2 linked regions of the Danio rerio genome follow. The protein of the gene in region 2 purifies or fractionates together with the protein of the main gene of each other region. This does not show direct contact. Links are inferred from orthologs where the notes say so. Each region holds a gene or a part of one and is shown on either strand. Other genes may lie near its edges. The genes, in order: sf3b1 and zrsr2.

Region 1 (3,825 bases), on a different chromosome or scaffold from region 2:
AATAAATATAAATTATAGAATTAAGAATACAGCATCTAATAATGAGGATATTTATATGGGATTTACAGTTCAATCAAAAGATTTACTGTATATCTGTTTATACATTAAATCATTTTAAAGGAAGCGGCTTTACAGTATTAAACGTGACAAACAACAGTGCCAGTGTTGCAACTTCAAACGAACTTAAGATTTTATTCGAAAGTAGTTTTGAGTTCTTTGTTCTTCAATTTCATTTAAGCAATATCAGGGCCTTAAAGGGATAGTTCACGCCAAAATGAAAACTTTCTTACTATTTACTCACCCTCAAGAGGTTTCAAAGATTTTTTTTCTCTAGAACACACAAGATGATATTTTGAAGAAAGCTGAGAATCTGTAACCATTGACTTCCATAGTTGGAAAAACAAACACTATGTAAGTCAAGGGTTGCAGGTTTCTAATGTTTTTCAAAATAAAGGTTTGAAACAAGTCATTCAAAACATAATTTTTGGGTGAAATATCCCTTTTAAGACTGTCTCAGTAAGGCATAAGTGGATAAATGAAATGTACTGAAAAATATTGATGATGGATTTATATGTGTACTTGTTTAAGTTGGGCAGCAAAGATTTTGGGAGACGGTTGGGTGGTGTCATTGGTCCCATCATGGCATAGGTTGCAGGTAGGTGTGTTGTTCGAAGGGTTAATGTTTTTAATGTGTGAAACAGATGATACAGTAGTCAGGCAACTTAAACACAGACACTGTGTAGTATATGAAAAGTTTCTAATTGCCAGAGACAGCATACTGTCAGATTTATTTTTCCCCCCATACTATTGCCTGCATATTTTTCAATGGTTAGACACCCCTGATGTGTCAATGTCAGTAATGATTCCCAATAAGAGTGGAGCTTTAAAGCCCTGTGAAGCCAAATTTAACTCCATTTATGTTGTCCAGATAATTTAGTATCTTAAAACCGATGGCCTGTGGGTGCTCATACCAGTACAATTTTACAAGAAGTTTAGATCATGTTTAAACAGGCTGCACACTCACAAAACTGACTCACTTGGGACCAAATTATGGGAGGGCAATAATTCTGGATCAGGCAAATCATCTTGCATGTAGTCCCAGACAGAGGAAGCTTTACAAAAACTGTTGTGTAAATATATTTCTATTTTATAATGATAAAATAGAGATATATCTATTGAAGAATCTGTGTACCAAGATTCCACAGGCCCATACTAACTGTCCTTAATTTCTCTCCTACAGCAGTACTGCTATGCCAGTCCTGTCTGCACTCTCTTAAGGGTGCAGCAACTCGTCCTGTGTAGGTTATGGTCAACAAAAAGAAGCGTGTTTATCAGATAAATCAAGACCATAGTTAGTAGTTTTTGCTCTGATGTGAGGCCAGAGAGCCTTTCGGGGGAATGCACCATGATTTCATCAAGCTATTTTATTGATTTAGTTTTACTTTTGTTATGTTTCACATTATTTTTAAAGCCTCATCGGGGACTTTTTTTAAATTCCATATTCACTTTTTTCATTTCAACTTACTTTTAGACAAATTCATCTTAGTTTAAATTTTATTTAATCTAACCAGATGCACACAAGTGTGCTTTAAGTCATTGATTAGTTTCTGATATTTTGTTTCTTTTCTGATTTGATTAGAACTCCCCAATGTGTTCAGTGTCTTTGACTGTAACACCTATAGTTTATTAAATGTATATGATTTTTAAGTCGGTTTTTGAATACTACATGGTTTTCCCCTTTTCTTGTTTGTAAATGAGTGACGAGCAGAATAGGTGGTATGCTATTTTGTGTGTGAGTACAAACCCTTTTCCAAAGTGTTACTAATGGTAAAGAGAAATTTTCTAGGCTTCTTTTCTGCCGGTTGAAGTCTGACTGCAGAGGGACCCTTGGCACTGAAAGTGTACGTATTCTGGAGAGCACAGCCCAGGACCCTGCATCAGTGATGGCTATATCCTCTCCTTATCTCCTCTTAAAAGCAACAGAAACCTCTTTGTACCTGCCTGTTCTTAATGTTTGACTGTAATGAGTGCTTAGCTTTTATTGCATAGGGTTCTTTTGTGTTATGAGAGGACAGTAATTTAAACATTAAAGGCCATCTATTCAGGGACACTTGACTGTAGTGCTTTGTGTGTGAAAATGCTGGTTTTGAGATGCACTTGGCTGACCGTTTCGCATCTTGTTGGTGCTCTTTCGCCTAGGGGGTAAAACACCGGATCCCAAGGTGCAGGTCAGGACGTACATGGATGTTATGAAGGAGCAGCAACTTTCCAAAGAAGAGGTAAGTTCTAGCACTTTGGTGAAATGTCTGTAAGATGCTACTGAAAAAAAAAAGTCACAAGTGTCTTAAACTGTCACTGTTTCTCTTGGTTTACAGAGAGAGATCAGACTACAGATGGTAGAGAAAGCAAAAGCTGGAGAGCTGAAAGCAGTGAATGGCTCCGCTGCATCTCAGGCCGCGGCCAAACGTAAACGTCGCTGGGACCAGACTGCTGATCAAACCCCCAGCAACTCAACACCCAAAAAAGTGTCCAGTTGGGACCAAGCAGACGGAGGTTCTGAAGTGAGTCGATAACAACATTTGGTCTGCAGCAAATGGATATTTTGATTGTTCAGATTTTCATGAAAAATAATTACAAATTCATACAAAGACAGATTTTATGTATCTGATCTGCTTGGAAGACTATGAAAAAGTCAATATTTAAGTAGATGCTGATATACAAAAAAGTAAATGTGTAAATATCCTATAATACAAAAAAAAAACTATTGCTTTTTATTTGTGTAGTATAATTCGAAATTATAGTATAATTCAAAAAGTTGTTTAGGAAAAGTCTTGAGGACCCTACGGGACCCATGTTCTCCAGTGAGGAAAACTATTGTTTAGGGGTGAATTTCTCTAGTAAAGTAATGATCAGGCCCCTTTGGATGTTTGTAGAATCCCCCTAATTTGTCTGTGTCCTCCTGATTAAGAGCCATGGATTAGAAATAAAGCATTACAATGCCACTTAAGAATTTTTATAATGCTGTGAGATTTTTATTTTGTTACTTAGACACCAGGACACACACCAGGGCACACACCCTCCAACAGTCGTTGGGATGAGACCCCTGGCCGTCCCAAAGGTAGTGAAACCCCAGGAGCCACTCCTAGCACTCGTATGTGGGAACCCACACCTAGCCACACCCCAGCAGGAGCTGCCACACCAGGCCGAGACACACCTGGACATGCTACGCCAGGCCATGGAGGGGCCACTTCCAGTGTGCGCAAGAACCGCTGGGATGAGACACCAAAGACAGAGAGAGGTCTTTAATAGTTTTTTTTTGTCTAGTTTGATGTGTAATCTGCAAATAGAGTGGTTTTTAAACCCTTTGTTTTGTCCGTTTCAGAAACACCTGGTCATGGCAGTGGCTGGGCTGAAACCCCACGTACAGACAGAGGAGACGAGTCGGTGGGTGAGACGCCCACTCCAGGTGCAAGCAAGAGGAAGTCAAGATGGGATGAAACACCAGCCAGCCAAATGGGCTCTTCAACTCCCCTGCTCACCCCTGGAAAAACCCCTCTGGGTACACCTGCTATGAATATGGCCACGCCCACTCCAGGTACATGACCAGTGCTGTTGTTTAGCTTAGTTTAGTTTGTAATTTAAATAATTGTTGTTTTGTGGAAGTTGCTTTAAAGGTTTAAATGTTTGCAGGTCACCTGATGAGCATGACTCCAGAACAGCTGCAGGCTTGGCGGTGGGAGCGGGAGATTGATGAAAGGAACCGTCCATTGACTGATGAGGAACTTGATGCAATGTTTCCAGAGGGATACAAAGTATGTGTTATAA
Region 2 (3,825 bases):
AAAATATATCGGAGACCGTAAGGGGCTGTATGTGTTCATATACGTTGCATTTATGTATTTATTTTATAGAATTACAGACGTTACAGTAGCCTATTTTGCACAGTCATTGATCTGCAGTTATAATCAACTCCTGTCCATAGAAAAGTTAGTGATAAACATTTATAAACAAGTATTTATGTGTATAAAACATCTGTTTTGTGAGAAGTGCTGCTCATGATATGTGAACGACCCGTACAGCCTTACTGTAGACATTTATTCGAGCAAGCATGATGTCGACTTAAACTTTGTCATACACCACACCCACCAAAAAGGGTACCCTTTGTGGTGGAAACGCATGCCTGATAAAGGTGACCTGTACTGTACTGTACCAGTCAGTGGAAACGAGCCACTAGACGCGCAGCTGAACGCTATTGGTTTACAGAGATACGTCATTCGTTTACTCAACAAGCCAGAATAAAAACAAAAGAGCCGACATGTTTAAAATACACAGCCGAGAGATTTGTTACAGCGTGAACGTATATATACATAAAACAATGAGCCATGGTCGACCTGCGCTCAAACAAACCTTGTCGTTGTTTTGATGCACAGCCACAATGCCAAAAAAAAAGAGCAGATTTACCATGTGCCCTGTAGTTTTTTTTACGAGACAGTCTGAACCGTGAGTGGTTTCACTTGCCTGCTTGCGCTCACCACACATCTATATCTGAAACAACAAACTTCTTGAGCTAATGATAACAACGTGTGCTTGATTATTGACATGCTTTTTAAACCCGATCCTGTCAGAAACTGACAAACGCGAGAGTGAAGCCGGAAAAAAAGGAGCACATCATTTTTCAGCAAACGTGACCAAACTGCCATGTTTAACTATTATCATTACCTTTTGGACTAATATAACCTCGGAATCATGGAATTACTATCTAACAGAGGCTACATGTGCTGCTGGAGATTAAAGATACTGATGAGAGGTTTTCACTGACTGTAGGCTATATTTTGTTTTGTTTTTGAACCTAAATAAGCACTAAATGTCTGCTGTGTGTAGTTCTTCTGTAGTTGGTAACATTTCGGAGACTGTAAGGGGCTGTATGTGTTCATATATGTGGCATTTATTTATTTAATATAATTGCAGACGTTACAGTAGGCTATTTCGCACTGTCATTGATCAAATCCTGTTTATAGAAAAGTTAGCAATAAACATTTATACACAAGTATTTATGTGTAAAAAGCGTCTGCTTTCATATGATTCGTGAACGACCTGTTCAGCTGTATTATAGACATTTTCTCGAGCGAAAATTACATCGACTGAAACTGTCATACACCACACCCACCAAAAGGGTACCCTTTTTAGTGTAAACGCAAGCCTGATAAAGATGACCCGTACCGACCTAAACCGTACCGTACTGTACCAATCAGTGGAAACGAGTCATAAAATGTTGAATTCAACACAAACTACAATTAATAAATGCCTAAATATTGTTTAATATTCATGTTTTTATGTAAATTCATGTAAATACATTAACTAATGGAACCTTATTGTAAGTGTGACTTACTAATATTTTCCTTACCACATATGGCCGTTTTCCATCTAGTCACAGGGGAGAATTCACATTGCAGTTGTCTTCCAGCATACCAGCGACCATTAAACATCACAAAAGCTTCTTTGCATTGCTCCTCTCTGCAGGATATAAACAAAGATATCCAAATATACGTACATTTATAAATCTGCTGTCAAAAAAAATCTCCAAAATAATAATGCTGAACTTACGTCTCATACTGAACGTAAACGTTTCCTCTTAAGTGAGGCTCAAAGTTGCAGCTCACCTATTAAAATATGGCCAAATAATAATCATTGTCAATTTAATTTTACAAAAATATACATATTTATTTACATTTCTGCAGCTGATAGAATAAAAAATACGACTTTCATACGAGATAAATCTAAAGAAACATCTAAATAAAGAGAGATTTTATTTGTTGAAGGTTTTTCAGGCTTTTATTTGAGTTACCTTGAACTGCACCACTCTCCCTGCGTTCTTGAACTCTGGCAGAGCGTCTTCATAGAAATCCAGAAACTGCTGGTGCAACTCCTCCTCACTGTACTCCAGACTGGCATCGGTGTCGTAGTCATCACGTCTGCTCTGCTCCATCCCGAATGACACAAACATCCCCCTCACCATCAGAGTGCAGCTGGATGCTGGGTGGTCATGTTTTCGAGAGCACCTGTTTATTAAAGAGTATTAAAAAAAGTCATCATCTTAAACGGATAGTTCCCCTAAAACTAGTATTGTATATTATTACAATGACAAATAGGTGTTTGTGCTATATTACAGGGGTTCTCAACTGGTTTGACCATGGAACCCAAATTTTTACATGGTCATCAAGCCACGAACCAAATTTTTAGGAACTATAATACAATTTTAGGAATTATAATTAATTTTTAATTATTTGTTAAAATACACATGTAGTGACAGATAAATCATAAGAAAATCACAAAGGCTTACAAATAAACAATATTTTGCTTTCATTTAACAAAATGGATCAAATTATAGAAATATTACAAAGTAAAAACGACAAATACTGTGGTTAGGGTAAGGAAAGGTTCAGTTACCATGAACTAAACTAAACTGTTAATAAAAAATTTCTGGTTTCTAAACGTCATCTTAATTTAAAAGGTTTCATGCTCTCTTGTGAGAGCACCTCGCTACTTATGACACACTGAGGCTTTAAGTCTTTTTTGTCCTCAATATATGTATTTTTGACATATTTGTTGCTATATTTAAATGAAATTTCACGTCAAACGATAGGGTTATCATGCACGCATTTCAAAATAAAAGTCAAAATAAGTTAAAAACTTTATTTTTGTTGTTTTTTTTTTTCCACACACTCCGCGACCCACTGAAAATGATCCCGCGACCCGACCCACCAGTTGAGAAACACTGCTATATTACATTAGAAAGTTTGTCATTAGATTAGAACTTGTGAGGGAGGCTATTGAGCAACACTTTTCAAAAGGTTTCCATTAGTTAACGTTACATAATGTATTTACTAACATGAATGAACAATACATTTATTGCAGGATTTATCCAAAACTGAAAATTCTCTTGTTTACTTGTTCCACACTGGTTTAAGTTTCTTTTTTCTGTTGAACAAACACACAAAAAAAAGATTTTGAAGAAAGCTGAAAACCTTTTGACTTCCATAGTATGAAAACGTAATACTATGGAAGTCAATGGTTATAAGAATTCAGCTTTCTTCAAAATATTATTTTTTGTGTTCAACAGAATAAAGAACCACTTTCATTTTTGGGTGAACTATCCGTCATAATCCTGACCAGGAAATTTCATTTCGACTGTCAACACTTTGTGATATAGTCGTGTAATAAATAATTACCGGTCTCCAAATCTACAAGCACCAGTTTTTAGGAAGAATGGACAGTTTGCCTTGTCCTTTTCAGTTCCGTAATCCTTTGGAGCATCTGGGTTTTTCCAGGGTCCCCCATTTTCCAGCTAAATGCAACAAAAGATAGCTTTTCATGAGAAGAGCAAATACAAAACTTGCATTTTTTTATCATAACAAGAATCAAGAAGTTACCTGACTCTCTGCTTGATCCAGCATTTTCTGTACTGCTTCCTATAAATGGTGCAAACATACACAGTATGGCGGGTGAAATTCTGTGGTGTGCAAGTACATGTCTGTTAGAACTGGTTAAGACAATCTGGCAGATCATTTGTACAGCATTTTGTAATATTTTACAGCGAATATGTTCTCTGCTGTGGAATCAGTAAGCAATCTCATTACTACAAATGACATGAAAAGATACGTTCTTCA

Evidence for each region.
Region 1: the proteins of zrsr2 (region 2) and sf3b1 purify together in Homo sapiens (affinity purification with mass spectrometry; 3 studies listed by BioGRID and IntAct, counting the BioPlex papers as one, with this or other methods). This does not show direct contact. The link is inferred for Danio rerio from reciprocal best matches to the Homo sapiens genes ZRSR2 and SF3B1.

Annotation. Positions count from the first base shown.
Region 1 is NC_133184.1:33,850,578-33,854,402, reverse strand, and holds part of sf3b1 (splicing factor 3B subunit 1), read left to right. Parts: intron 1-1,240; exon of another isoform or gene 1,241-1,298; intron 1,299-1,846; exon of another isoform or gene 1,847-1,901; intron 1,902-2,199; coding exon 2,200-2,279; intron 2,280-2,375; coding exon 2,376-2,561; intron 2,562-3,048; coding exon 3,049-3,298; intron 3,299-3,382; coding exon 3,383-3,595; intron 3,596-3,690; coding exon 3,691-3,812; intron 3,813-3,825. UniProt on the Homo sapiens protein: Component of the 17S U2 SnRNP complex of the spliceosome, a large ribonucleoprotein complex that removes introns from transcribed pre-mRNAs.
Region 2 is NC_133186.1:13,226,906-13,230,730, forward strand, and holds part of zrsr2 (U2 small nuclear ribonucleoprotein auxiliary factor 35 kDa subunit-related protein 2), read right to left. Parts: exon of another isoform or gene 3,818-3,825; intron 3,690-3,817; exon of another isoform or gene 3,628-3,689; coding exon 3,589-3,627; intron 3,504-3,588; coding exon 3,388-3,503; intron 2,218-3,387; coding exon 2,004-2,217; intron 1,819-2,003; coding exon 1,763-1,818; intron 1,673-1,762; coding exon 1,563-1,672; intron 1-1,562. UniProt on the Homo sapiens protein: Pre-mRNA-binding protein required for splicing of both U2- and U12-type introns. Selectively interacts with the 3'-splice site of U2- and U12-type pre-mRNAs and promotes different steps in U2 and U12 intron splicing.